4 linked regions of the Medicago truncatula genome follow. The main gene of each other region encodes a partner of the protein of the gene in region 3 in a complex. Links are inferred from orthologs where the notes say so. Each region holds a gene or a part of one and is shown on either strand. Other genes may lie near its edges.

Region 1 (7,759 bases), on a different chromosome or scaffold from region 3:
TGGCATATCCTGCAGTACACAAGAAGCTTTATGAGTCTTGGTCAAAATATCAAGATTGATCATGGTCAGAGCAAGTCTTGTCATTTTTAACTACTGTCTCCTGAATTCGACCCTTTGATAGGAGTAGATAAATTTTTTAACAAAAACTTTTATATGCAAGCTTCAATATTTTCTATCAAAGTGCATATGCTCAACTCGATGAAAAATAACCTTCATTTTAGTGCATTTTTCTAATAATATCAAAGTGCATCTGCTCAACTCGATGAAAAATAACCTTCATTTTAGTGCATGTGCATCATAATATGTAAGTTTATATCTCAGAACTCCTGGCCAAGTGTAGGAAAGGTTTAAGCCGAAGTGTGTATGAGCCTTTAAGGAACCAGAAAACTAACCTCTGCAAGGAGGCTGCAACACATAATCTTAGCATCTTATGGTGCATTTAGCTTCATTAGTAGCACTTATTAATCCTCAAAAGACAAAGTTCACTCAACCCAAAGTTTGATCAATGATAAGAGATCTAATGTTAATCTGATAAATTGTCCTAGAACTATAAAGCCTATGGAAGAAGGGAGGGAAATCTCAACAAAAATGTACAATCAAAACAAGAGATATATGTACAGCATAATTATGCATGAGTGGGGTCCAAAGGACAGCACCATGGTCAATCAAGTTTAAGATGAGGAAGTTGGCAGCGTATAGTCAACAACAGAACTGTGTCCAGCAGTCCGGCTATTATAGTGCTAACAGTGCCCATATTCATTGTTAATGAATAATGTACCATACAATTACCCTGTTGATCCAAAGAGTTAAGCGATTTAAGGCAAGATTATAGATCCTAACCTCAGATTTGACAGATACATTAGATAACCGATTATTGAACCAATACAGGTTATTTAGGATTAGGAACTGATTCACAGGTTTGAAGTTTAAGAACCATTAATACCGACTTTGGCTTATAGAAGCTTGGGAATATCCTACTTGAGAAAGAATTCTCTGTAGAAGACCTTTAAAGACTCGTATAAAAATTGAATTGGAGACTAATACCAGTAACTAACTAACAACTAACAACTTCCCAACTATTAACTTTAAACCACCATTGCAGGCCACTGTGACATAGCATGCTTATTGCCTGCAATAAGCAAATGAAGACCATATATCCATAAAGGCAGACCAGAAGTGATATTTCTAGCTAATAGAAGTGTAAGATTTAAATAAAGTACTTACAAAAAGATGTTCAATAAGTATAGTATTCTGTGTACAGAAATGTTCATTAGAATTTTAGTTAGCTTTTCTTAGTATTCTTATAACAGTTAAGTTATTCATTTATGGGTTAATGGTGCTTTACCCCCTGTAATATAGGTCATTTTTGGTTTTCCTGTAAAAAAAAAAAAAAAAATTTACAGGGGGGTAAATCAAAAAAAATATTTTACAGGGGGAAAACCAAAAATGACCTATATGACAGGGGGTAAAGCACCATTAACCCTTCATTTATTTAGTTTTGCATTTCTCTTTTAATACATGTTGGGCAGGTGATTAAACTTTTTTAAATCACATGGTTCCCTTGAGAATAGTGACAACAGCATGTATGTAGCATTCCATTTCCAGCAGTATTTGAAGATAAATTTAGATTCTTGTTCCCCAAGATTTATATTTGCAACTTTTATTAACAAAAGAGTACCTTGCGAATCAAATAGAGGAAATCCTCAACTGATAGCTTCCCCCTCTGTGATCCAATATCTTGTGCTTTATGTACCTTGACAAAAAAATAAATAAAAAATCATGTAAGGACAAAGGCCAACCACTCCGTGGCACTTAGACTAAGTTGAACAATTAGATACATTAGAATGATACTTACCAGTTCTGTAATATATTCTACAACGATGTCATCCATAAGCGCCACACTTTCAGGAAGTGGCTAATTCAAGTGGAAAACAAGAATAAGTAAAAGTTCAAATTAATATCATAATCTAAAGAATAAAAAATTTGCAAACATAGTATGAAAAATGAAAAAGTTAGAATGAGAATTACATTAGGATCATCTCCGAAGCCATACATCATGTGCTGCACTATAGAAACCAATGAAGAAGATTAGGAAGACAATAGAAATAACTACGCTAAAATTTAAAAACTTAGGAACAAAAATTATTACATTCTCTTTGGAAAACTCCTCTTCTGCGCTTGGATGAAGTGTCTGGTGGTTGTGAGGAAGCTGCTCTTTGTTTTGATGAGGTTCCGGCGGCAGAATTGCTCATTGTTGTTGGTTAATGCTTCCACTGTCATTTTAGTAACTATAGTTAGAGGAAAGAGGAAACTGAAAATACATAAAACTTGAATTTTTTGATAAATGTGTGCAGGTTCTGCTATGCTTCCTGTGCACACATAATCCTATAGAATAAAAACTGGAATGATGACTACACTTATAGTCATCAAAATGAATACAAATACAACCATCGTATCACTGACACCTCTGATTGAAGGCGTGTCGGGTGTCTGAAAACTACAAATGTGATTACATTCAATTAATTCACTTTTTTTATCACTAGTGTTGATGTGTCAGTGTCAAGATCATGTCTGTGTATGTGTCAGTGTCAAGATCGTGTCTGTGTATGTGTCAGTATTTCATGCAATACAACTAAACTTATTTATTTATGATAAAATTTCCAATTCAGGTATTAACCTTATTGAGGCATTTTGACAAACACCTTGCGAACAAACATGTTAAACAAGAAAACAAACAAAAGGGGTTATTTTTCTGCACCCCATTAGTTTCACAGAATTGTAACAACTAAAATATGCATTTCTCCATTATCTTCAATTATTGTTCTACCAAATCAAGCCCTAATTTGAGAACTTATTACCCTGTTTTCGTATTGAGTTATTATGGGTTATGATGATTTTGCTTCAACAATGAACAAAACAGGGACTACAATTAACCTAGCATTACACAGCAAAATTTGCATGTTTCAAGTAACTGAATCGAACGAATGAAAGAAAGAGCAGTGTGGGTTGGATCTTCTTACCTCGAAGAAACGGCTCCGTTTAGGGTGCGCTACGTTGATGGGTCTCCCACGCTGCGAGATGTGGATTAGCAACGTTTGTAGGTTGTTTTACTGTGCACTGCTTAAGCAATCATAAAAGCCATTTTTTTGTTGAGGGAATTATAAAAGCCACCTTTTTAATTATTTTGTATAAAGAAAAATTTGGAATATTTTCAATTATATTTTAATTTTACGCGGTTTTAATAAGGTTCTCATAAAACGTAAGTGGGCCTTAGTAAGATTTTCATAAAGAACTTGGTCTTAGTAGAATTTTCATAGAACATAAATAAGTAATTGTAGGAACCAAATTTTGTTACAAAATATAAATGCTTAGTAGGGGTGTAACAATTTGGATTGTTAATATTGTTGAATGTTTAAAAATGTTAAATAAAAATTACAAGTAATAACTAGGGTGTTCGCGGTGCGGTTTGATTCAGTTTTACGGTTAATACTTAAAAGTCATATGAACTGTAAGATAAACAGACATGCGTTTTGGTTTAGTTCGGTCGGCTTTTAAAATAAAATCTGAATCAAACCAAACCAAACCAATGTGGTTTGGGTTGGATCAATTGGTGTGGTTTTTCTCATACAATTTTTTGTTTTCAACGTTAAAATCAAGTTAAAAAGCTAGAACACAACATATTTTCAGCTATGTTTTCAACGATGTTTTAAATGTCATTCAACATTACAATTTCATTTTCATCTAACAATGTTCCCAACAACATAAACCAAATTAAAAAGATGGATAAAAAGTTATCCTATTTCGAAAGAAATTCTAAATACTAAGATTTTACATTATCTAAAAGTCCAAGTAACACAGATATATTTTTGAAATAAAAATCAAATAAGAAATTTAACAAAGCAAAAAATATGTCATTTTATAAAAGTTATCATTGAGGCTATGTGAGTGTTTGGTTTAGGTGACAAATGTTTAATTAGTGTTTATCTTATGTTGCGGTTTGATTTGGTTTGGTTCGGTTGATAAAATAAAAACCACAAACCAAACTAAACTATACAGTTGAGTAAGAAAGTGATCCAAATACATCCGAACCAAATGCGGTTTTTTACAATTTCAGTTTGGATTGGTTCAGTTTGCGGTTTTTTATTGGGTTGGTTCGATTTTGAACACCCTAAGTATTAACGCAATGTTTCTATTAAATATTTTTATTTTATTTATACAAATATCTGTTAAATAATTGAAGTGTATCAGTCAATTGTAGAATTTATTTTTTTATATATGCAAAAATAAATTGTTATACACATACATAAAAAAAAGTCGATATGATAAAATTTTGAAAACTTATAACTATTTTCAAAATATCAAAATTAATGTAGAATTTTATTAAATAACCTTTTATTCAACAATCAAGTTCAGTGAGTTGGAATTCATGAATTATGCCCAGACCTGCACTGAATTATTATGTTAGTTTATAATGTGTCCGACGAGGATGGATGAGAGGCAACAATGACGGAAAGTGATATCTTTTATGATCTCTTCCAACAAATAATTGTTAGTTACTATCTTTTTCTCCAACAAAATTCTATTTTTATGCACACTTGTCTTCTCATAACAAACAATTGTTAGTTACTATCATTTTCTCCAACAAATTTTTATTTTTTTGCACACTCTATCTCTCATAACAAACAATTGTCAATTTTAAGATAATAAGAAACAAATTTTATTTTATTTTTTTATTAAAAAACAAACTTTAGTTTTTCAAATATATAACATTAATTAGTTCTATTGAAATTTCAAATATATAACATTAATTAGTTCTATTAAAAAAAAATAAGAGTAATTAACAAAGGGTATAACTGACAAATTGTACTTTTAAAATACCAAAACGGCCGTTAAATAAGAACGTTAGATTCACACTTAAACAAAAATAAAGAGAGTATTAAACAAAAAGTTTTTTAATAATGATTCCAAAATTAATTGCATTTTTAAAATCAATATTTATGTTTAAAAAATAGAATCCTAAAAGGTTACAAAACCTACAAATCTCAACCATTAAAAAACTTACAAGTATATCTAATGTTTTGCAAAAAAAAAATCAAGTCTCCTACGGTAGGAGACCTAAAGAGGTCTCCCACTGTAGCCTTTGCCCGAAGAAACAGATACGCGAGTTAATTCTCCTCTTTCTACCACGTTCAAGTAGATGATGTTGCGATGCTGTTTTTTTTTTTTTAATCATATTCAGATTCTAAAATCTGAAATATTTTTACATATTTTTTTACATTTTTACAAGGTGTTTACGCCGTCGTTCGTATTCTATAATTCGAACTAGATAAGACCACTAAGAAATCAAATAGGATAAGAAAAGAAGGATATTGTATATTTTCGTTAAAAAAAAAAAAAAAAAATGTTTGTGGGTTTTTTTGGTACTAGCCCAACCTACCTGGGCAAATTTGGTTTTAAGAATTTATTTTTCCTTTCTCATGTGTCCTTCAAAATCTATAATTTAAATTAGGGACATGTTAACGAGAGTCTTCAGAGCACTTTTTAAACACTTTAAATGGTAAATTTTTAATAAAAAAAAAATTGTGTATTGAATGCATTGGAAATTGTAGTAGTTGACTTTTTAAAAGAATAATTACTAAATTTTTGATGCTTAAAGAGTGTCTCAGGGGCACTCGTTAACAAGACCCTTTAAATTATAATTGATATGAAGGTCTTTGTCGATCATTGTACCATCCCTGAAAATTGTTCATCCTCCTAATATCTTTGTGGTTTATTCGACCATTTATTTGGTCTAGTTGTTCCTTCAAGTCAGACAGTGTGACATCAATGTGGACTCTGAACCAATTAAGTTTTCCTCTGTTGTAGTAAACTGCAACTAGCATGGTGTTTACATCTATTGGATAAGTGTCCATGATTTTGCGGTGTGATTTGCAAATGAACAGAACACTCTACTTTATAGAAGCTTATATGTGTCATAGACCACAGAAGCTGTCACTACAATTTGAACCACATAAATATTTTTGTATTTGACTGGTTCGGATTATATAATATGAATTGTACCAAACCCTTCAAAACACAAGTTTCAACACATGCTTATAACATTTCAGATTACGTAATCCAAAAAAAATCAAAATAATTTCGGATTATATAATTTGAACCAGTCCAAAATCTAGGCGGTGTGTTGGTCAGCAAGTCTCACTAGTTTCATGCATGTTCCATATGTTTTTGATTGGATTTGTATTGTTGATCATGTGTTTAAACCCTCCCTTGACTCTCTTTATAGTTTATGTTTTCATTTTGCATATAAATACTCACTCATTCTTCACAATTTCTCATTCCAGCTGATATCCTCTTATTAGTTTCCCTCTGCAAAGTTGCACTCCATATCTGTTTGAATTTGGGATTCGTATGGATTTGGGGCTGCTAATCAGAGTCGCCTTCTCTCACTCTATCATCTTGTATTCCCATCTTTTTCAGATGGTGAGCGAGAGGGATGACAAATCTTTTTCTCCCTTCATCTTCCTAAACCAAATATTTAATGTTATATGTGTACTATTTTGTTGTAATAAGTGTTATGTTAATGTGAATGTATTATGAATTCTTGATCAAATGATAAAATGTGTTGACCCTTGCCAATTTATATTATGCCTCTTTAAATTTTGTCATTTTAATTTATGGCATTTTAATAATTTATTTCATTGAAATTATAAAATTGTTTAAAAACCGTTCGAATTTGATAATCTGGAAACCATCAAATATGCTTCGAATTATAAATTTTAAACGGGATGAAATTTTCAGATTGGAGGGCGTGTGAGAAGTGAGAAAATAAATTCTCTTTGATTTTAAGTATGATGTTTCCAAAAGTACGTTCTCAAAATACAGTTGAAAAAATCTTCGAGAATTTATTTCCCCACTCTTCATGTATCTCACGCACCCACCGAAGGATTGCCTTAGATAAACACTTGTTGCTCCACGAATTTATTATTTGCCACACTTGGTCTTTGATAAAATCAAAAGTGTCCCCCTTGTTTCTCCCAATAATTGAAGATGGCCCTAAGTACCTGCCATTGTCTAATAAACAACTTAAACATCTAAAGTATTGTTGATAGAGTTTTGAATGGTTGGAGAAATATTTTTTATTTTGGTAGACTAATTAATTGTCTTGATCGTGCTTCATATACAAATAAAATGTGCTTCATGGTTTGTGTCTCATTCTCTTTTGCCCTTAAAAACAAAAGACAATCATATGCGAATAATTGGAGTACCCCTACAAATAGAGGTGTCATGAATATCCCCATGAACCCCAGCACGGCGGATAAAGGATGAAAGTCTCTCTACACATATAATGAAGGCTTAATTACACTTTTGGTCCTCGTGTTTTGGCCTACTCACGAAACTGGTCCTGCTCTTTTAAAACATAACAAAATGGTCCTTCAATTATCATTTTTGTTGCATTTTTCGTCCTACCTCCTATTTTCAAACTTCAGAAACGCAGAGAAATGACAATTTTAGGCGGTTTTAGACCTACCCCTATGCTCAACCATGAAATCAACAAGGAATAAAACATGTGGGCACAAGGAATCTATTCTATTCAGCACACTAACAAAAAAAAACCCTAATTTGAAACATATCTTAGAAATTAGGGTTTTTTTGGTTAGTGTGTTGAATAAAGTGGATTCTTTGTACCCACATGCTTTATTCCTTGTTTATTTCATGGTTGAGCATAGGGGATGGGTCTAAAACTGTCATTTCTATGCGT
Region 2 (7,093 bases), about 11 Mb from region 3:
ATCTTAATAATGTGTTGTGTTTTGAAGTTGCCTCTTCGGCGATGGTTGCTTTGATTAATTCGGAGATTGCTCCATCCTCTCCTCTCCAATTCATTCTAGATGAAGTTCTGACGTCTAGATTGGGATCATTCGGTGTATCTTGTCAACCGCAAGTTTAATAAATGTGTTGATTTTATTACTTCGTCGAGACATAATTCCTCTTTTATTTATGTATTGTTGATAATTCCTCCATGTGTAGCCACTAAACTTCTAATTTAGTTGTGAAGTAGATAATTTATGTTTTTAGGCCTCACTTGAACATTGTCATTTCAAAGTTTGGTTTAATGTTTTCATTATATTGAAGTACCGTTGATCCTTTGAATTTTAGTGCTTCATACCAATTATTATTGGAAACCTTCAACACTAAACTATAAACTTCAACGTAACTTTTAATAGTATCTAAAACATACAATAACCCAGTAAATAAACTCATTTATCAAACACCTGTTTTAGCCAAACATGTTTACAAACTAATCAAATACAATATAAGCCAACAGATGATAAATACTAAACATAACTTAAATCGAGTATGACGCATTTGCTTTGTACAATGACACGGTGACAGAACATTAAAACGCAATAGCTTAAAAAACAAATGGTTAATCTTATTCTCATATATATGCTGGGTAAATTAGGACCTTAAAGGCAGTTGCACAATAAAAAATGGTGTTAAAATACAACAAATGATGTACCAAAATGCACAATGTGGGATAACAAATCAATTGCAGCCCATCTTATTCCTCTAAACGGGATTCAAATTCAACAGCACATGATTATACATAGTGAATGCCAACAAAACACCTTTCTGATACTCTTTTATGATTGATTCATTTCTAAAAAGGTGGGTATATTTTTCAAAAGTGAGACAACCAAATCAACTATTAAAAAAAAAAAAGTCTAAATCATAAAGAGTGTTCAAGAACATGTCAAGAAAGGTGTTGCAAGCATTCATCTGATATAAATGCTCCTTGGTAGCTAGCTAATATCGGTTAAACTGAGTCATCAGAGTCATCAGAGTCACTCCTGTCAGCATCCCCAGCGTTTGTATGAGTCTCTGGAACATCATTCTTTGATGCGGATGTAGCTGCAGGTTTTTTATTAGCACCTCGAGCATTCTCACCACCTTCTTGCTCAGCTACTTCCACATGTGAATCTCAGTCAAGAAAATAGCCAAAGGTTGTTTACAATTAACAATATAATGAAAGCAAAACACTTGCTTTTGTCATTGATGCAAATGCAAATGCAAATAGATACTACAAGCTATGCCATGAACCCCAGGTCAGATAGAGAAATGAGTTATCAGGGCAAAGAAAGTAATCGACAAAAAAATCTCAACAGACCTCCATTTCAAAGAATTTTTTTAAAGTGAAATCGTAAATTTGAATCTAAGACTTAGAATGTTTACTAAACAACTGCTTAAAACAAACAAGATGAAAGGATATCAATATTTTCAGCCGTTCCTCCAGCAATGATTTTGAGAAGATCTTTCTCAACACGAGAGACAAGCTCAGGCTGGAAAACGAAGAATGAAAACACATGGTAAGTAAGGGACACACAAACGCACAGATAATAGAGCGGCATCAGGTATGCTAAGATAATGCAAGCACATATGAATATGTTACATTAAGGTCAGGCTCTCTGCGGAATCTACGCTTACGGGCATCTCTCATGGGAGGGGTGAGACCATGTCGATACTCAATTACATCTGGAGCAGCATCACCAGATTCCCTCACCATAATCATCTGTTAATTGAATTCATTAAGAAGGCAATCAGTTATTTAATCATCCAAATCTAGGAGTATGATTAAGAATAAACAAATAATATGAATTAACGATAGATACCTGACCTGACCAATATCAGCAGTCTTAACCAAAGAGTTATCATCATAAGTCTTGTAAGATTCAACGACAGCAGGAAGGTCCAGCAGAGAAGCTGGGAAATGCTCATCCCCAATCACAAACGTTCCGCTTCTTCCATCATCGCTAAATTGCAAATCTAGCGACTTGTCTTCAGATGAAGAAGCATTGTTTTCATTCAAAAGACGCTCAATCCGCTCCGCAACATTAGGTGGAACTCTAAGTATGAATTGCTCCTCCATATCTAATTCCATCAGGTTGTTTTTAGAATCATTACAAATAGTAAATAATAATATAATCAAATTGAATTGAATTGAAGAATCGGGCATTGCAATTGATTGGTTTCATAACTGCATCAGTATATACCAATAATCAATGATAATCAGCATTCATGAGACAATTCCAATGGATTTTCAAATGAAATTTCACAAACAATAAAAGATCAAAATTGATTGGAAAAACAAAAACAACAAAAAAAAAAGGATTTTTATTACGAGCACGATATCGTGAAGTCTTTAATCAGTGATTTTATCTTGAACTGAGGCCCATGGATTTTTAAAATTGATTTATTACGAGCATGATTACATTGAATGTTTCCGAAATAACTTACAAAAATCAAAAATTGATTGAGGGCTTTCGAAGAAGAGATGATAAGAAACAATTTGATCGGTTCAATTTTGGAAGATGAGGTCTGTGGCAGCCGGAATTCGAAAGTGACGATGGCGCTAGGGTTTTCGGATTGGAAGGATTTGCGAGAGAAGAGAGAGAAAAAGATGAAGCAAATGAAGGGGATTGAAGAAAACACGTGGCTTTGGTTTGGGTCAGATTCATCATTCATCCAACGGATGCTATTGTTGTCTTCTCTAGGATGAGCTTATAACCGTTGGATCTAAGTTTAAAGGAAAAAGTAACAATTAAGGGTATTTTTGTTAGCTAATTTTCCCAAAAAATAATTTAGAGATTATTTTATAAAGATATTATGAAAAAACAGAATCAATTTGTTTGTTTTTTTTAATAATTCAGTTTATTTGGATATAGCAGTGTATAAAAGAGAGTTTACAGTTTTGTTTTTTTTTTTGCAAGAACCTTGTAAATAAGGATTTTTTTACGTTATACCTCAATGAATTGGAGGTAATTTATCCCTTTTAAAGAAAAATCTTTTTTATTTTTTTTTCGATCAAGATATTTTTATATCTAGAACATCAATGATATTTTTACTTTTTTTTTTTTTTTAAAGAAGTTAAATTAATCCACCTAAATTAACACTGGAGATAATTGTTGCAAAGGGTGAAAGGAAACATTGAAGAGTGAAGGAAGATGAGGGCTTCATTGAGATTTACCGGAAGAAAAAAAAAAAAAAAAAAAGACCGGTTCAAACTACGGAAGTGATCATCGAAAAGATATCAGAAAAACGAACGTCCTATTTCTCTTTAATTTGAGTTATTTATTTTGGGGTTAAATATGTTTTTGGTCCCTATAAATATACCAACTTTTCGTTTTAGTCCCTTTAAAATTTTCCTTCAACTTTTAGTCCCTATAAAATTTTCAATCACTACTTTTGGTCCATCTTTTAAAGTAAACTCATATGTAGAATTCATATTTTTGAATAAAATTTTGCAGACAAATTCATAATATTTTAAGAATCTCTCCCTAAAAAAATTAGAATTTTTTAACAAAACATAAATTTAATATGAATTTTTATATATTTTACGATTAAAAATTTGTATTTTGTTAAAAAATTCTAACTATTTTTTTGAAATATTTTTGGTTTAATTACACTTCTCGCATTTTGATAAGCTCAGGAAAATGGTCTTGCCTCTTTCAAATCGAACAAAGCCGTCCCTAAACTATCATGTTTTTGCAGTTTTAGTCCTATCTCCTATTTTCAACTTCAGAAATGCAGAGAAATGACAATTTTAGACTTACCCACTATGCTCAACCATGAAATAAACAAGGAATAAAGCATGTGGATATAAAGAATCCACTTTATTCAACACACTAACAAAAAAACCCTAATTTCTAAGATATGTTTTAAATTATGGTTTTTTTTGTTAGTGTTCTTAACAATTGAGCTGAGTAATAGTATCTTATAAAAGTTCTTATTTTTTTAGCCAAAAATAGTTGTTGTGATTTTCCTTTGTGATTTTTTTCTTTGAAAGAAATAGTATCTTATCATTTTTTTTGGTCGAATATAGTATCTTAACTTATAAAAAAGTTCTTACATCTCTTAGACCATTTTTTAGAGTCAAACAAATTGTTGTAGATTTCTTAATTTTTTGCTTCTTTTTTTTTTTTTTTTTTTATACAAAAAATGATCTCGTATCTCATTTATAAGTTCTTAAGTCTCTAAGGAAAAGGTTGTAGCAACTTTTCTGTCTAATTTTTTTTGCCTTTTTTTTTAATAAAAATGATCTAATATCTTATCATATTATCTTTTGCAAAAAAAAAATCTTTGGATAAAAGTTGTTATGTCTTTGAGCAAAAAAGTTGTCTTATCTTATATATAAAAGTTGTTAAGTACCTATATTTTTAAAGTTAAAATATGTTTTTGGTCCTTGGTAAAAAAAAAAAAAAATTAAAATCCATTCTTGCAAAATTTTTTATTTTTTAAAAAAGTCGTTGACCCCATTTTCTTGATGATTTGTCACTTTTTTGCATATGTGGCATTAGCTGACTGTGTTACTTTGTCCATGTGGCATTTATTTCAATTAACTTATTTGATAAATATTTTTAATAGACAAAAATTATATTTTTGAAATTAAAATAAAACAATTAATTTTTTTTGAAGAAAAAATAAAACAATTAATGTTATTTAGTTAAAAAAAAAATTAAATCATTTGCTAAAATAAAATCAAAATTCATAAGAAAAAAATTGGTTTTATTTAATTTGTTTCATCTTCTCCTTCTTCACGTGTTCTTCCAGTACCCTTCATCACAAAATGAAAAAAATAAAATACACACATCTTTATCTTCTCCACATGAATCTTCAACCCAAATAAAGAAACTTATCATCTTCATCTTCATATGCATTTGCGTTTTCTAGTATCCCATTCTTTCGAGATCTTGTTGTTCTTGAACTTGGGTTGAAGATTTTTTCAAGATCTTCTCAAACCAGATCTAGAATGTCTTGGAAAAAGTATCAAGATTTGCTAATCTCAGCAATTGATGATGATGACGGCGACGACCGTCACAGAAAAAACCCGGTTTGCGCCGCCCATACAGAAGGATGGAGTTGAGTTTGGAATGGAGCAAGCTTTGATTAGAGAACCATTATTGTCACTGTTCATTGGGTGAACAAGAATGGTTTTGTTTCAACATTGAATGGGTAAATTCGACAAAGAAGGAACGTTAGGAAGAAGAAGAAGAATGAACAAAGGGGATCAAGGAGGAAAAAAAAGGAAGGAAAAAAGAAGGACGAAGGAGATGATCAGAGAAAGGGATTTTATGATCTTTTAGAATTAGAAAATAAAAATTAAAATAACATTTTCTGATTTATTATTTTATTTTAAATTATTTAAATCTATGTAAATGTCATGTGTACATGGATGCAAAGTCAGCCTCTGCCATGTATGCAAAAATGTGATAAATCGTCAAGAAAGTGGGGTCAGGGACGTTTTTAAAAAACAAAAACTTTTGCGTAGATGAATTTCGAAAATTTATTTTACCTGGAACCAAAATACAAACTCACTATATTTGCAGAGACCAAAAACATATTTTAACCTATTTTTAAACACGATATACTCTTTCTATCATGTCTTGGCAACTACAAAATCCACCCTTTAAGGTCATTCGTGTGTGAGAGTTGTTGTTGCACAACCAAAACAAATGCACTACTTTAATTGTGGTCAGTATATCGCTGACCAAAGCCGATGACAAAGACAATCTACCAAGCTCTGAGTTTTGGATTTGAAGTTCACTTAGGAGTGAAGCAATTGTTGCAAATTGACTTAGACTGTGAGTTCCCCGCCTATTTTTTCAATGGCTTCCAATTTTCCATGCAATGTTATGTTAGTAGTGGTATAAAACATACACATAATGGGGTTTTGTTAATAATCCAATTATTGAAATTATCCATGCTCTCTTTCCCGTCCTTATTATCAAGCTGAAATCCATTTGTACACCATTTATGAAAACAAAAAGAACCATACCTATTGATGAAATTACTTCATGAGTTCCATATGGAAACAACTTGCCCATGTATGCGTCCAATGGTCGTAGCTCAATCCAGCCTGCAAATGGTACGAGTAGTGTGTTTAATTTCAGTTCTAGAAAATACTCTCTACAAAATATTCGCTATATCCTCCCATAATGAACCTATTGGAATAATAAAAAATTGTTTGAAAATTACAATCACTTTTAATTTTGAAGGAGGTATTACTTTTTTTCAATTTTACTCTAATTAATACTAATTGCATTACTCTCAACTCGATATATTTTACTCTGTATTTATAATAATGAGAAATATATCAATACTTAATAATGATAATTTAGTATCATTAGTATTTATCTCTTTTATTTATATAACTTTTTTCATTTGTGTGAAATGGTCAAATAATTTTTATTTTTTTTTGAAAGAGTCAAGTAGATTATTATTGTGGGACAAATGGAGTAATGCATTTCAAATGAAAATTACACATGGAAGAAATGATATTAGAAACAAAATCTATTTTCTATATGCAATTTAACTTTATCTAATAACTACGATTTATCCACATGAATGTTGAATCATGATGGGTTTATTTGTTGAAGTTCCAAAATATTATTTTTGCAAAATTAGGATGGTTCACGATGATTTTGATAGATTCACCGTGAATCTAAACATGCACTAAAGAAATTATTCTTTTTGAAAATCATGTCAATTGGATATACTTACAATCATTTGTGAAAGAAATTGAGGGAGTCTCAAAGATTTGAGAAGAAAACGACATATTTGCGTGAGTGCAAAAATGATAACCAATTGTAACTCAAACAAGGTCAAGAAAGATTTCATTGGTCTCCTTCCATTTTCATGGCCACCCCATAAACCATCTGAAACAATATGGGGTGGAGCCTCTAAATAAATTTTGTAACCTGCTTCATTCAATCTTTTAATTTCGTAGAACAAAGTATCATTTGAATTTATGCTCATTTTTGTATGACTTATTCCACAAGAATTGAAATTAGAACAAAACAATTCAATGGAGAGAGAATGGAAAGA
Region 3 (7,708 bases):
GTTTTCATTTCGTGTTCTTCTTCTCTTCAATTAAATTTTTTGCTTTCTTCAATTCAATTTTTTTTATTTCAATTCAATTCCTTATAATGATTTCGACATGCAGTATGTTGTGTTTTTTTTTTATTCCAATCAATTCAATTTCCAAAATATTCAATAAAGTTCAATTCCTCATAATTTTAATTAAACGATATGAATTTTTTGTTCTCAATCATCTTTCTTATCATGTGTACACCAAACACATGATAGGATAAGTGTCTATCATGTCACTATCCTATCCTATCCTATCCTTAACCATTTTCTAATCCTATCATGTCTCTTGAATATCATGTGCACAAAACGGACCCTAAATGGAAAACCACATTGATATGATGGCGGAGCTAGAAAAAAAGTCTAGAGTGGGCCATAAATAGTGATGGAGCTTAATTTTCTTACAAGTACATTTTATTATTGGTTAGTTCCAATGACTACAAATTTGTTATTTGTTGAATATAATTCAAACCGATATTTTAAAATCTGAACCGTTTATCAACCTTAATAAAGTACAAGATAATTGATCGAACAACTAGGTCATTGAACCTAACGACTGAATTAAATAACTCGACTTCAATAAACAGATGTATAGGTATTAAATCGAATTGAATCAAACGACCGAGTAAAAAAAAAATTAAAATAAAACTCATGACATATATATTAATGTAAAAAAGATCATTACATAAGAAAATATACTTATAATCAAGTACAATAATGAAATATATTTTAATTTAATAAAGAATATAGTATTTTTTTTTACCTTTTTTTTTAGGGAAGTTTTTTTTTTTTTTTTACCTAAAAAATAATGTTTATACAATTAAATATTTTTATGATATCATGTTTTTTAAGGATATTTTAACATTTATGTTATATGTTATGCATTATAAAAGATGGTTGAGGTCCTCTTTTATATAAAAAATATGTTATGTGTTTTGAAAGAGAATTTTTTTGACAAAAAAAGAGTTGAAGTTTCCTTTGTATAAAAATAAAATAAAATAAAAGAGTAAAGAGACAATTGTACCCAAAAATAAGAGTAAGGAAGGAAAAGATTATTTTAAATTGAATAAAGGAGTTATGTTTTATTAAAGAAAGAAAGGATTAAGTAACAAAAAAAAAGGATTATTTTAACAATTATGAATGCTTTTTTTTATACAAAAGAAAATAAAAGAGTAATGAAAATGGCTTTGGCAAGAGTTGAACCTAGCACATAAGACTTGGCAAAAAGGCTCTTAACCACTACAGCATGCTACACAATCATCATATAATTACAAAACATAATATATATATATAATAAGAAGAAAAAAATTGGGGATGAGCCATGGCCCACCTTGGCCCATGAGGGGCTCCGCCTCTGGATATGAAGAGTCATTTGCATTGCATTATGGGAAAGGAGAGTCCAAGGGCAACCCAACAAGGAATTGAGTGATTTGAAGTAAGGGTTGAAGCCCCAGATGGCTAACCCTTGAGATCATATATCATAGATAACTTTCATGACAGACACATAATAGGCCTACAAATTGTTCTGCCTGTTAAGTGACATCATTATGGAACAAATCCTAATAGCCAAACATTCTCTCAAAATAAAAAGCATCATATAAATTGGTAAAAAACAGATTCATGTAACACAGAAGAGAAAGCATGGAACGGGAGTTAAATTGCTGAAGGACGTCTGAAATTAATCCAGTAGAGTATGTTAGAAGATGAACACTTGGTACATTCACTTGAGAGAACTCTATGAATCTCTAATGTTATTCTTTCATTTCTGAATTCATAATCATTACAGTGTGCATCAGGTCTATTTAGAAACTGGTTATCCTACACACTAGCTCTAACAACCTGTAACTAACTTCGTCAATAAACTAATTCAGATTCAGAAGAATAAAGATATTACCTCACATATCTTTATGTTGAATTTACTTTGCCTTAGCGAATGAGCAAACTCCATTTCCTAAGTAAAAAGAACATAGTTGGATTATTCAAAACAAACTGTTGATGAATGATTATCCAAAAAACAAGAAGATGCTCAGAGAGTAAAATAAGATTTTAGATAGAAACTAACCTTCAAATGAGTAGGAGAAAGAACTCCTTCCAACTTTTGAATGTCACGTAAGTGCATCAATTCATGGTCTTCGCGGAAAGTAGTGAAAAAATTTCGAGCTGAGGACATCAAAAACAAAATATTTGATTTTATAAAACACATCTGATGGTTCACATTTCGGTCATGTTCGGATAAACAGATTAATTAAGCACTTATAACATAAGTGTCTATCATATAAGTTCTTGTATATAGGTTATTACTACAAGAAATCAAACTATTTTCGTATAAGGTAAAAGTTTTCTTAAGCTATCTTGGAGAGCTTATGGAAATCAACTGAAAAAAGCTTATGAATATGTCAAATTCTATTTCCATGAATTCTATCAAACATTCTCATAAGTGGTTATGTAAGTAGATAAGAACAAATAAGTCAATCCAAAACCAAACATTCCAATAAAACTATGCAAGTGTACATGAACTTATTGTACCTTCTTGAATATGCCCTTTCGCTACAAGGTCCATAAAACAATGGATAAACACCGGATAAAGCACACGAAGCAACTCATGCTGAAAAGAAAAAGAAAAAAAAGCAAAAATTAAAACATAATTTTGATTCAATAAACAAATTAAATGAAATTAAGCAATTAAACAGTGTATTAATTACCTTATATAAATCCAATGAAGAATAAGTCCAAGTTCTTAATCTACTATATCCATTATGATACCTTGCAGGACCATTCTCCAACCTGCAAAACACAATACATTACGAATTTACGTGAATTAGAGGAAGAATCGTTGAATGAAAAAATTAGGTTGAAGAATGGAAAATTACTGAGAGAATGCATGAAGGTGATTGGCAATGTCAGGTTCGAGAATGGAATTGGAGGATGAACTTGTTTTGTTTTGTTGAAATTCTTCTTGGAAAACTTTTTCGGTTTGTTTAAACCCTTTCTTCTTCAAGTATGCGGTTACGTAACCGAGAATTTCGTCTTCGTCCATTTTCGATTGCAAATTCGAGCTCAAAGCTCAAAAACCCTTTTACTTCACTTCACTTCGATTCTCAGAATCGCAGAGACACTTCGTGTTGAATTTGATTCTGGTCTCGTTAGGGTTGGTTCTGGAATCAGATCTGATAAATGGGCTTGGGCTCTTGAATAACAGGCCTTGCTCACTAAATCTCAGCCCAGATCAAAACATGTATGGGGATACTATTTACACTCTCCTTTCTATTGCTACACCCTCTTTTATCCAATCTTACCTTCTTTTTTTTTGTTTTCAAGAATAAGAATGCATGTCTTGCACGCATAAAGGATGCTTGAATCGCACAAAAAAAATTGTTTTAGAGCCGGTTTGTTATAGCTTTTTTAAGAAAATAATCACTTTTAAGAATATTTGATCCTTCCTTCAAAAAAAGAAAATTATTGGATCGTTCATTTGGAAAAAAAAAATTGGATTCTTTTGTTACAAGTTTTTTAAAAAAAAAAAATCTAAAAACAATTTTAAATGAGAAACTGTTGAGAGCATCTTCTCAAAAAAGTAAAACAAAATTCTAGGAGAAAGAAAATAAGGATCAAAAGAATTCATTTTATATAGTTTATATTCAATGCATGATATATGTAATGTCTGGGGTTCGAATCCCGACCATCAAAAAATAAAAACAAAGTAAGTTATTTCAAAAATATTTTTTTTTTTAAACTATGACAAACGCGCTCACAATTTTATGACATTTTCCTAACAGAAACAAATTAGATTGCAACTCATTATTACATATGGACTAAATCTAATATATTAAGTTGCATCATAAATTATTTCCTGTGTTAGCTTCTAACTGAACACTCGTTAATACAATCAAACAATCTAATATAATTAAATAGAAGTTCACATCAGTTCCCTGTTCATATATTGTCTAGTGAGACTGGGCAATTAGAGTGATATGTACGAAATGAAAAATTTCAAACTATGAGTAATAATTTATCACAGAAGTAAGTAAGCCTTACGTCTAAATAATTTAGTTAATGAGCCGCAAAGTTTGAGTATTTGGGACATCCAAAATGTAGAACTTAAATTGGAACTTGCTTCTTTAACCACGTTGCCCAATCTAAGTTCTAAAGTTCAAGTCAAGGTCCATTAACAGTCAACCATCCTTTGAAATTATGATTGATGATGATATCATCAATGATGAAATGAAACCAATTTTCTTTCAATTTGCGCGTGTGTTCCTTTTCTTATTTAGCCTAGCAGCCGCACCATAATGTTTCTGGAAGAGTTTTTTTATAGAAAGAAATTTGCAATTGCACCATGTATTTTATTGAAGTTTCCTAGAACCTGTTTTTCTCTATAAAAATATTCAACTTACAAAATTCTACGTAATTATTTTTAAAATAGTTATTTTATTGGGTGAAGAAAATAAGATTGTAAAAAAATATCTTACATGACGTATGATAATATCAATGGAAACTAATGCAAGTAGTTGATGCATAGTGTATGCGAGAGTTATAAATTTTTAACTATCTAGATTGATTTGTAGTCTTCGTAAAATGATTTTATAAATAAAATAGTATAGTATAAACTAAGGATATAAAATTGAAATATAAAAACTACACAAAAACTTGGTGTATCGTTTTTTATGATTAACATCCGAACTTTATACATTGTGGTTTACAATACACACACGATATGTATCAACAACTTATGTTAGATTTCTTGTCAAAAAACTTATGTTAGATTTAACGTTTTTTTTTTTTTTAGGGAATGTTAGATTTAACGGTTGATAGCCCCTCTATGTATATAGAGAGATATAGATAAATACAATTGATTTATTTGTTTTATCTTCTTATATATTAAAGTTAACCCGTAAGTCCTAATTTTAACCTAAATCCTATTGCATAATTTTACTGTTTTAATCCTAATGCTCACACCTAATCTCCTATTTTCATGAACAACCCTAATGCTCACACCTAATCTTCTTATCTTCTTATATATTAAAGTTAACCCGTAAGCTCTAATTTTAACCTAACCCTATTGCATAATTTTACTGTTTTAACCCTAATGCTCACACCTAATCTTTTATTTTCATGAACAATCCTAATGCTCACACCTAATCTTCTTATATATTAAAGTTAACATGTAAGCCCTAATTTTAACCTAAACCCTATTGCATAATTTTACTGTTTTAACCCTAATGCTCACACCTAATCTCCTATTTTCATGAACAACCCTAATGCTATCATCTAATCTTCTTATATATTAAAGTTAACCCGTAAGCTCTAAATTTAACCTAAACCTTATTGCATAATTTTACTGTTTTAACCCTAATGCTCACACCTAATATCCTATTTTGATGAACAACCCTAATGCTCACACCTAATTTTGACCTCTCTTCCTGTCTATGCTCTTACCTTCTTCAAGGCTCCGTCAGGTATAATTTCTTCCCTTGATTCTATTTTTTCTAAATTTTTTTGGGGGGGTTGTGAGGTGCTTAGGAAACTCTCTTGGGTTAGTTGGACCACTATTTGTTCACGGCGGGAGTTTGGAGGTTTGGGGGTGCGGAGGTTGAGGGAGTTTAATATTGCATTGTTAGGTAAATGGTGTTGGCGGCTGTTGGTAGAGAGGAATAGTTTATGGTATAGGGTTTTGGTGGCGAGATATGGTGAGGAGGATGGGAGGTTGGAGGTTGGGGGCTGGAGTGGTTCTGCGTGGTGGTGAGAAATCGCTAACATTAGGGATGGGGTGGAGGTTTCTGGTGGTGGTTGGTTTCAGGAGGGAGTATCTCGTATGGTGGGAGACGGGGTAGATACTTTATTTTGGCGTGATGTGTGGGTTGGTGATGTCCCGTTTTGTGTGCGCTTCAGGCACCTTTTTGACCTTACTTTAGATAAGTCTTGTTCGGTTGCGCATATGTTCTCTAGTGGGTGGGCGTTGGGGGAGAGGGTTGGAGATGGAGGCGGAGGTTGTAGGTGTGGGAGGAGGAGATGCTGGGGGAGTGTATTATTTTACTTCGTCATGTTTCTTTGCAGTCTAATGAGAAAGATACATGGAGATGGGCGCTGGATCATTCTGCAGGTTATACAGTCAGGAGTGCCTATCATTTGTTGACTTCTCAGGATCGGCCTCAGGTGGATGGTGCTGATGCTTTGGTTTGGCACATTCATGTTCCGCTTAAGGTCTTTATTTTTGCTTGGAGGTTGCTGAAGAACTGTTTGCCTTTAAGGCAAAATCTAGTGCATTATGGTATCCTTCCAGCCACTGTTGCGGGCTGTTTGTTAGGGTGCGACGCTTTGGAGTCTTCTCAGCATTTATTCATCTATTGTGATTATTATGGTTCTTTGTGGTCTCGGGTTCGGTCTTGGCTTGGTGCCTCAGGTCCAGACCCCTTATTGGTTTCAGAGCACTTCTTTCAGTTTACTCATTCAGCAGGAAGGGTGCGGGCTCGACGCTCTCTTTTGCAGCTTGTTTGGTTACTTTGTGCGTGGATCATTTGGAATGATCGGAATCAAAGGTTGTTTACTAATATAGGTAGTTCCATTGATCAGTTGTTGGATAAAGTGAAGCGACGCTCTTTGTGTTGGCTAAAAGCTAGTAATATCGTTTTTGTTTTCGGTTATGATTTGTGGTGGTCAAGGCCTTTGGATTGTTTGGGTCTGGCCTAAGTTTTTGTTGGACTTTGTATATCTGTAATTTTTTGGGCTCTCCTTGGTACACCTTGTACTACGGAGAGTTTTCGGTTTGTTATTATATAGGTTTCATTTTTGTTTGTTCAAAAAAAAACTTAGTTGGTAAAAATATTGTTGTATATAATATTTCAAAAATATATATATTGTTGCATATAAGTATGTTAAATCAAAGTTAGAAATTCGACTTCTCCATTTGTGTGCGTGAGTTTTCAATAATTTTTGTCATTTTATCCGTCTATAATAATAATTTTTGTAAAAGGGATGTGCTCTAGTAAAAAAAATATGTTTGCCATTTTGTGTGCATGAACTCCAACTTCTCAGTGTTATTGTTCGATGCTACAACCCCTGAAGTTTAGTGGTCTTTTCGTGTTCTAGACGTGCTTTGAATTTGGATGAGATGTCATCATTATTTGTTGTGTATAAATTGTATTCGCAGTGTCACGATCTCGAACCCATATCATCAAGGTTGAGTGGTTAATTTTTGTGTGTAAATTGTTATTATGCATTTTACTCTTAAGCATAATGCGTAGTAGTTCACTGGACGAGTCTAGTCAAAGAAAGTTAAAAGATTTGACTAACTTACATGGTCATTTGGTAGATGAATAAGTGCTTATATAAGCGTTCATTGAGCTTTAAAGTTTACTCTAATCTTGATGGACCCTGAAATATCAACTCACCTACAATGACTTGTCACCGTCTCACGGATCTACACACATGAAATTAGAGGGGCAATTGCCCCCACTAATGATTGTATTTTTTTTGAGAATGTTTGTATTATATTTATTGAAATGTTTGATATTTTAATTAAAGGAATATTAATAAGTGTCTCAAGATCAACTGATAAGAAATTCAAAAAAAAAAAAACTTTATCTTATAAATGATGTTATTAGTAATGTAGCTTAATACAAAAGTATTATTTTCAAAAGATATAATTTTTGCATAGCCAAGTTATCACAATATTATTATTGTT
Region 4 (7,980 bases), on a different chromosome or scaffold from region 3:
CATTTTCGCTACAATCAGGGAATAAAGGTGTCAATGATTCAATTAACCCTGGTTCAGTTAATTCTTCCATCAATTGATTGAAGTCTTCCCCGCAGTCGTTGTCGAACAAATTGTAGTAACTATCCTCTAACCTTAAACTAACCAAAGTGCAAACAATTGACTTAGCCATTAATAATACTACTTTGCCAGGAACCACCATCTCATATTTCTCCTTATCAGGGTCTTCAGAGATAAGTGAGAAAATTATAATGAAAAATTGTAATAATGAACAATTATTTTGAGATAGATTGATAATAAACTTTATCGGGAGAGAATGATGTAAAAGAAACTATAAGAGTGATAAAGAATAAGAGAGAAGACAATTAATGAAAGAGAGTGAAACATCAACGATAAACTTCAATCGTAGCATTGTCCCTAACTTTAACCTAACACAAACATTGACCTTGTTCAAACTTGAACCCTAAACACCAATAAGTCATAAGAGAAATTTGTATAACTATTAAACATTGTATGATAAACATGATGTGGAATAAATAGTCACAAGAAACTGGATTTAAATTGCGATCCTTTTAAAATTATTCCTGAAGCTTAATAAGTTTATATTCTCAACAATTTTTTTGGTAAATGTTAGTCAAATAAGATTATAAAGTTTTAAAACAAATGGTTTATATAGGACCAAAACATTTTGTATTAAATAAACTTTAAATGTTTAAATAGTTTGAATAAGGACCAAAATATTCTGGATGAAATAAAATTTGAATGTTTAAACTGTATCAATTAAGGACCAGAATATTCTAGAGAATAATTATATATTTAATATATAAGCAGAATAAGAAAAACAATATTAAGCTTAGGTATAAAAACTTTTTTTTTTTGACAAATACTATATTGTTATGGAGAATGATTAGATAATTAATATTAAAGCATAATGATCAAATAATATTATATGTTGATTTAAACGTGAGTTTACTATTCAGAAATTGTTTTATATTGGACCAAAATGTTCTGGAAGCAGTTATATGATTAATATTAAATAAAATGATAAAATAATATTAATTAAGGATCAGGGTGGTCTGAAATTTGGTTGTGTTTTAAATAGGACAGGAATGTTCTTGATAGATTAATAAAAGAGTAAATAGTCAATTTTCCTCTTGAAATTGTAAGTTTCATCAATTACCACCCTGAAATTAACAAAACTTCAATTACCTCCCTGAAATTTCACAACGTTAGTCAATTTACCCCCTCCGTCAAATTTTTCTGTTAGTGAACATGACGTTTTGCAAATACCCCCCTGAAGTTTTGCACTTATGTGCAAAATGCCCCCCAAACTTAAAAATTTATATTATTTTTTTCTTAAAAACAAACAATTAATAGTTAAATATTAAAACTAACTATTAATTTTGGAATTTGGGAAAACTACATGCATATATACATCAAAATAGGCTCTAAAATGGGGAAAAATATGTATTTTTTAAAGTGACAATAATGGGATGATTTGTGGATTAATATTGGGGGTTGTGTAGTTTAAATGGTTTGAGCAAATTGTTGAAGGAGTTAAAAGACTAAAATGGTGAAGAAGAAAATATAAATTTAAATCTGATTATTAATTTGTTTATAAACCTCTAAAAATAATAATTTGTCTATTAGAAATAATCATTATTGTCACTTTAAAAATACACATTTTTCTCTATTTTGATGTATATATGTATGTAGTTTTTCCAAACTCCAAAATTAATAGTTAGCTTTAATATTTAACTATTAATTGTTTGTTTTTAAGAAAAAATAATATAAATTTTTAAGTTTAGGGGGCATTTTGCACATAAGTGCAAAACTTCAGGGGGGGTATTTGCAAAACGTCATGTTCACTAACAGAAAAATTTGACGGAGGGGGTAAATTGACTAACGTTGTGAAATTTCAGGGGGGTAATTGAAGTTTTGTTAATTTCAGGGGGGTAATTGATGAAACTTACAATTTCAGGGGGAAATTGACTATTTACTCATTAATAAAAGTATTATAATTGTGATAGTGTGTGTGTGGTGTAACACAAATAATAAGAGAAAGGAAATAGAGAATAACACAGGAGATTTATCGTGGTTCATCAAAGTTGGCTACTTTCAGTCCCCACACTTATGAGTGGCACTATATTTTCTTGGTCACACCGAATCAGCCTCTTACACTATGTATTGTCAACCTCATTAGGCTTCTACAATTCTTTGTTTTTGCAAAAGAAAGGTTGGAACAATTCTTACTCAAACTATTGTAACGAATAGACTTGAGAACTATATTACACTTTGTATGATGAGATGATTTTTGGATCAAAGATGTTTCTCAACTCATGTTTGAGATTCTAATAAACAAACTCAAAAGATTATGATCCAATAATACAGTGAGAGAGTTGGAGTTTGTTATTTATGAAGATTTTATGTTGTAGTGAAGATTTCACATACATAATTATGTTTTTTATGTTCAAACTATTGTCATAAACCTTCATAGCCTTCCTCTATTTATAGGAGATGTAAGCCTTGGAGAACAAGCTTAAAAAAGAGTTGTTGAACACGTTTTTTAATGAAAAAAATGCTCCATAATGTTGCTTGGTGAGAAAGCATGAATTATGTTTACTGAGAAAGTTATCCAAAACGTTTTCTCTGTTCCATCCAATATTGGGCACAAAGTAACACGTTTTGCAAGTTAGTTGTAATCTTGTTGTATAAACTTGTTGGTCACCTTTTAAGACGTGTTGATGTCATCTTGATGTCATATGATGATGCCATATCTAAGGAACGACTTTGAGAACTTTCTTTGATGGTTTTGCTTACCCAGAACTTGAGCAAAAGAAGGAACATGTTTTGCAAGTTGTTATGATGGTAATATTGTTGTAGAAGCTTGTCAGCCACTTCATAAGATGTGTCGATGTCATATGCTTTTTTCACGAGGAACAACTTCGAGATATTTCTTTAATGGATCTTTTCACTTATTCCTTAATGGGTTGAACTCTTTTAAGGTCATTATGATGAAATCTATGTTCTTTTGCTTCCATGTGCAATAATGTCTTGATTTGTCTTGACATTTTGTCTTTTAATTCTTTAAGGATCTTGATTATTATGACCATTTATTCCTTCTTTTGATGAGACAAAGAGAATAAAATTTATTTTTGATCTTAATTACAAAGATCTTTGACATTGCTCAAAAGTTCACATTTTGTCATTTGATTTGTTTGTTGTTTTGATGAAGATGTTTTTGTTAGCTTTGCAAGGTCAGAACATTCTCGTTAATACATTCTCACAAAACACGTTAGTAGATAACAAGATAATAATTGTAATACGTTTGTTATCATTGAAACATCAAGAGAGGATGTTCTCCTCACTTTGTATAACCATAATGTTCTTTGTAGGAACATGAGAAACTTTTTTCAGTCAAAATTCCTTTGATTGATTTCTATTCTCCCAAATCATATCTTGAATCATCCCAAGTCTTTTATGATGAAATCTTAGTGCATATGATCATCAATTTTCTTCCATGTGATCATAAATTTTCTTCTTTGATAATTCTCCAATTAATGAACGACTTAATGAATAACTCATTCATGAATTAGTTTCTCTTCAAAGTTGATATAATCATTTCGATGAAGTAATGAGAATATTTTCGAGTGTAATAGTCATCTTCATCATGAGAACATTCTTTCATTAAAGTTGATAATGTTCTCTTCTATACGAGAAAACAATATCTTCTTGGTCAATTAACCTTAAATTATGCAATTATTCTCTTAGTGATTCCATACAATGTTTCTTGTCCATTGAGTATCTTTCAAATATTAACCATTTATTCGTCGAATCTTTAAGGCTTTGTTGAAAACTATGTCGTGACGAGGACGAGTCAATTAATCATGAAATTCATATTTCTGTTGAATCTTCAATCAACACTTATTTGATTCAAATAATATTTCTTCTATATCTTCTTTAAGCCTGTGGTGCTACTATTTTGATATTCTTCCACAAAGTATATATATACACTTGTAAGAGACTTCTTTTTTATCTACTTCTATTGAAAAGACTTAAGTGCAAACATTAGTAGATCATCATGGAATGAAATTAAAAATACACAATTAAATAAAATCCAGAATTATGTTCTATACAAAATGTGAATAACATTTTAATGTAAAAATATCAATAGTCCTTATTTTTTTTTTTTGAAATATCAATTCTCTTTATAATTGCTAGGGGAGGACGAGTAAAAATTGGTAGGAGAATGAAAATTTGGTAGGAGAATTCAAAAAGTTAGCTTTTAAAATTTTCATGTTTAACTAGCATAGTTAAATAAAATTCATAAAATACATTTATCATCTTCCATAATTTGAAATATTAAAAAAAAAAAAATCATGTAATCAAATTTTTTTTTATAAAGAAATAAAAATAAACAAATATGTCATTTTATATTTACCAGTCATTTTACCAAACATTTTAATTTTAATAGGCTATATTTTCAGTTACAAGTTATCAGTAATTAACTATAAACTAAATTTTTCCCTTAAAAAAAAAAAAACTATAAACTAAATTTTCAACTATCAACCAGCTTATATCTTATTTTTACCAACACACCATTTTTTATCTCTCTCCGTCATATATTATGGACTATGAACCATTACCAAACTTATTTTCAAACCTTGTTAGCGGATGGTTTAAGCGTGTGTCCATTTCAACGACGTAGCTGCTGTTTTGTTTTTCTCTTTTTTCATGTAATAAAAAAAAAACATGATTCTGAATTTATTATTTATCTGACCTAAGTAAAAGAAATTGCTGAAAGTAACAAAAAAAAAAAAAGAAAAAAAAAAGGAGAATGGCCGTAGGGATAAGCTGTTTGCTATAGGCGAAATAAAAAGGAACGCGAATAAATTAAAACGAAGAGAAATTAGCGAGGAGGGGGATACTGCAGACGGAGCGATAAATCACAGATCTATCTATTCATCGGAGAAGAAGAGAACATAGCAGAGCGCGTGCGTACTTCTCTCCCTCACGCGCTTCTTCGATTCTGGTTAACTCTTCTTTCCCCTCTTCGTTTCTTCATTCCATTTTCCTGTATAAGAATTGAATTGCAGTAATTTCGTTTATTTAATCAAATTATCTTCGTTCCTCTTTCAAATTGCTAGATTACTTCATTTGTTATCTCTTTCATTTCCTATTGCATATTTTGCATTATCGTACAACAATTATTTTTTCAATTTGTCACTTAAACCTATGATATTTGCAGCTTCCGCATTCAATTTTGAACTTATAAAAGTGATATAGATTCGTTTTTCTTATGATTTGCATCCATAGTCTTATTCAATTAGGTTAGCATTTTCATACGGTTTCACAAGTGCTTATGTCAGTTGATAAGCTCAAATAAGTCAGTCCAAACAATTATGTAGTGTTCGCATGCTATTTAGTACAAAATGTCAAATAGCTGTTATAAAGAAGCTATAACATTATCGCATAGCGGAATCTGATTAAATCACTATTTTCCGCGAACCGCAATTGACAATACTGGTGTCAAGTATCTTGCTTCTTTTACAATATTGTATTTAGTTTTTACACTGTTAAAAGAAGTGACGTGCATTTGTTTGTTTTCTCAGAGCTCTGTGCTGGTTCTCATTGCCTTTTATTTCATGATATTGAGATTCGATGGCAAGCATTCCTGGAAAATTTGCTCCTTCTAATGGATCTATCTATGTTTGCAACTTGCCTTATGGGACTGACGATAATATGTTGGCTGAATATTTTGGCACCATTGGAGTAATAAAGGTATGGAGTCTGCAACTATCCTTCGATTCAAAACAATGCTATGTTATTCTCCAATTTTATTTTTCAAGGAAAGGAAATTTTACAGGATTTAGGAATATAACTACCAGAACGTGTTGGTAATGTTTGTGACTTTATTATGGTCAGTTTGGAAATTCATATTTCTATGTAAGATGTGATTACTTGAATGTTTTTTTTGTCTGTCCTTGCAAAGTGAGGTTTATTTGGGATTACTGAATGATTGATTTGTTTTTTTTTTTGTTGCATTTTGATTTCCTATTTATGCGGTTCTGTTTTTCTGTGTTGCGTTCTATTTCCAGATTATCATTCATTTTTCATTCACAATCCATGTTTTGCAGAAAGATAAACGTACAGGGAGACCTAAAATATGGTTATATCATGACAAAGAGACTAATGAACCAAAGGGAGATGCTACTGTGACATATGAGGATCCACATGCTGCCGTGGCTGCTGTTGAGTGGTTTAACAACAAAGATTTTCATGGCAATACAATTGGAGTTTATATAGCGGAGTCAAAAAACAAGGATGACCAAACATATACTGCAATAGCAGAACCGGTTGTTGCGGGTACTGATGTCGGACCAGAGGAAACTGAAAGTGATGTCGATGGTGTTAATGGAAGAGGCAGAGGTCAAATTGATGCTTCCAGCAAACCATGGCAACAAGAGGGCGATTGGATGTGTCCGAATACAAGGTCTGTGATATGAGATCGGTGAGCAGCTCTTTCTTGCTCTTTTACACATTGTTTCAGTCATAGTTTTTTGCAGAAAGAATAACACTTTTTTTTTTGTCATAGCAGTTGCTCGAATGTGAATTTTGCTTTTCGGGGTGCGTGTAATCGCTGTGGAAGTGCACGCCCTGCTGGTGCTTCTGGCGTTGCAGGAGGAGGTGGCCGTGGCAGGGGACGTTCTGGGCCAGATGCAGGGGGTATTGGCCGTCCAGCTGGTGCAACTGCAGGACTATTTGGTCCCAATGACTGGCCTTGTCCAATGTACGATTTTGTCACATTATCCATCCCCACATTCTTTCCGTGTGTCTGATTTATTTATACTTGTTTTTTATTTTATATTTTGTTTCTCAATTCTAATTCACTATTTTAGCGATAACAATTAACACATATATATTTCTTATTAAATTTGATAAACACGTTGCCCAGTTTCATCAATTGGGTTACTCATTACTTGTTGTGTTGTATTATGTTGGACGTAGTGCTGGCGAACAGTTAAGCCACAAGTAAATTGAATATGATAGTGAGATATATGTTTGTATATGTATAATACACAAAGACAACATACTCTTGTGAATGAACATGGCTCAGAGAAGAGTTAATGATACCTGTTTTCTTTAATTGATACCTCCTGATTTTGCACTTTGCAACGTTGGCTGCATGAGATTTGTTAACTTTGATAAGGAAATTTTATAAACTAGCCAAATTGCGTTCCCTTTTGCATTGAGTATTAATTTTGGCACATCCCGACCCAATCTATCATTTTATCATCTACTATTCTAGTTCTCTATGAATTTTAAAGGAAGCAATCATCATGTGAGAGGTTGATTGAGTGCAAATCTAGTGGCCTTTCCAATTTATATAAGGTCAACTGATTCTGTTACAATTTACAGCCAATAAGTGTTTATAGGCTGTTGATAATATGATGATGACGTTGAGGTGAGCTTTGTAACTTCTTTGACTTTGTTGTTAACCTCTCCCCGGGTTCTGGTTCTTGTCCTCATCTACTGAACTTCTCTTTCCTCTGTCTCTTTTGTCCTTGTGGGTTGTGACAGGGTTCCAGTTGTTGTAGCAAATTTAGGACTAAGATTGTACACTGTTGGAACTTGGGAGTGTAGTGCAAGTTGGCTATATGATATGGGGCTTATGGTCAGTTATATTATCACTAGTTTTTATTCATTTTGAATGAGTCTTGCTCTGCTTAACTGAACAGGCTAATATGATACGGGGCTTATGGTCAGTTATATTATCACCAGTTTATTCATTTTGAATGAGTCTTGCTCTGCTTAACTGAACATTAGGCCGAGGCTGTTATACAGTACTTATACCTGACATTAAACTTGGAATTGACCTGCATGATGTGGCTTGTACAAGATTTTTTATTTTTCAATGAAAATTTTAACGTAATGATTTATCTTTCTTGTCTTCTTTTTTGACATAGGTGTGGCAATATCAAT

The links.
Region 1: transcription initiation factor TFIID subunit 5 (region 3) and transcription initiation factor TFIID subunit 13 share a complex: the UniProt entries of both Arabidopsis thaliana proteins name them as parts of the TFIID complex. The link is inferred for Medicago truncatula from reciprocal best matches to the Arabidopsis thaliana genes TAF5 and TAF13.
Region 2: transcription initiation factor TFIID subunit 5 (region 3) and transcription initiation factor TFIID subunit 7 share a complex: the UniProt entries of both Arabidopsis thaliana proteins name them as parts of the TFIID complex. The link is inferred for Medicago truncatula from reciprocal best matches to the Arabidopsis thaliana genes TAF5 and TAF7.
Region 4: transcription initiation factor TFIID subunit 5 (region 3) and transcription initiation factor TFIID subunit 15 share a complex: the UniProt entries of both Arabidopsis thaliana proteins name them as parts of the TFIID complex. The link is inferred for Medicago truncatula from reciprocal best matches to the Arabidopsis thaliana genes TAF5 and TAF15.

Annotation. Positions count from the first base shown.
Region 1 is NC_053042.1:42,950,717-42,958,475, reverse strand, and holds the start of transcription initiation factor TFIID subunit 13, read right to left. Parts: upstream 3,179-7,759; 5' UTR 3,021-3,178; intron 2,274-3,020; 5' UTR 2,253-2,273; coding exon 2,150-2,252; intron 2,067-2,149; coding exon 2,029-2,066; intron 1,916-2,028; coding exon 1,856-1,915; intron 1,754-1,855; coding exon 1,679-1,753; intron 1,130-1,678; exon of another isoform or gene 393-1,129; intron 10-392; coding exon 1-9. UniProt on the Arabidopsis thaliana protein: TAFs are components of the transcription factor IID (TFIID) complex that is essential for mediating regulation of RNA polymerase transcription. May be involved in polycomb repressive complex 2 (PRC2) mediated repression.
Region 2 is NC_053044.1:41,301,009-41,308,101, reverse strand, and holds transcription initiation factor TFIID subunit 7, read right to left. Parts: upstream 2,702-7,093; 5' UTR 2,507-2,701; intron 2,141-2,506; 5' UTR 2,139-2,140; coding exon 1,887-2,138; intron 1,782-1,886; coding exon 1,662-1,781; intron 1,552-1,661; coding exon 1,482-1,551; intron 1,187-1,481; coding exon 1,029-1,186; 3' UTR 624-1,028; downstream 1-623. UniProt on the Arabidopsis thaliana protein: TAFs are components of the transcription factor IID (TFIID) complex that is essential for mediating regulation of RNA polymerase transcription.
Region 3 is NC_053044.1:52,381,361-52,389,068, reverse strand, and holds the start of transcription initiation factor TFIID subunit 5, read right to left. Parts: upstream 3,175-7,708; 5' UTR 3,065-3,174; coding exon 2,898-3,064; intron 2,812-2,897; coding exon 2,730-2,811; intron 2,633-2,729; coding exon 2,554-2,632; intron 2,188-2,553; coding exon 2,090-2,187; intron 1,979-2,089; coding exon 1,922-1,978; intron 1-1,921. Other genes in the region: uncharacterized protein, read left to right, coding at 5,712-5,837, 6,082-6,714. UniProt on the Arabidopsis thaliana protein: TAFs are components of the transcription factor IID (TFIID) complex that is essential for mediating regulation of RNA polymerase transcription.
Region 4 is NC_053045.1:36,232,784-36,240,763, forward strand, and holds the start of transcription initiation factor TFIID subunit 15, read left to right. Parts: upstream 1-4,832; 5' UTR 4,833-5,029; intron 5,030-5,609; 5' UTR 5,610-5,658; coding exon 5,659-5,778; intron 5,779-6,134; coding exon 6,135-6,490; intron 6,491-6,595; coding exon 6,596-6,787; intron 6,788-7,964; coding exon 7,965-7,980. UniProt on the Arabidopsis thaliana protein: TAFs are components of the transcription factor IID (TFIID) complex that is essential for mediating regulation of RNA polymerase transcription.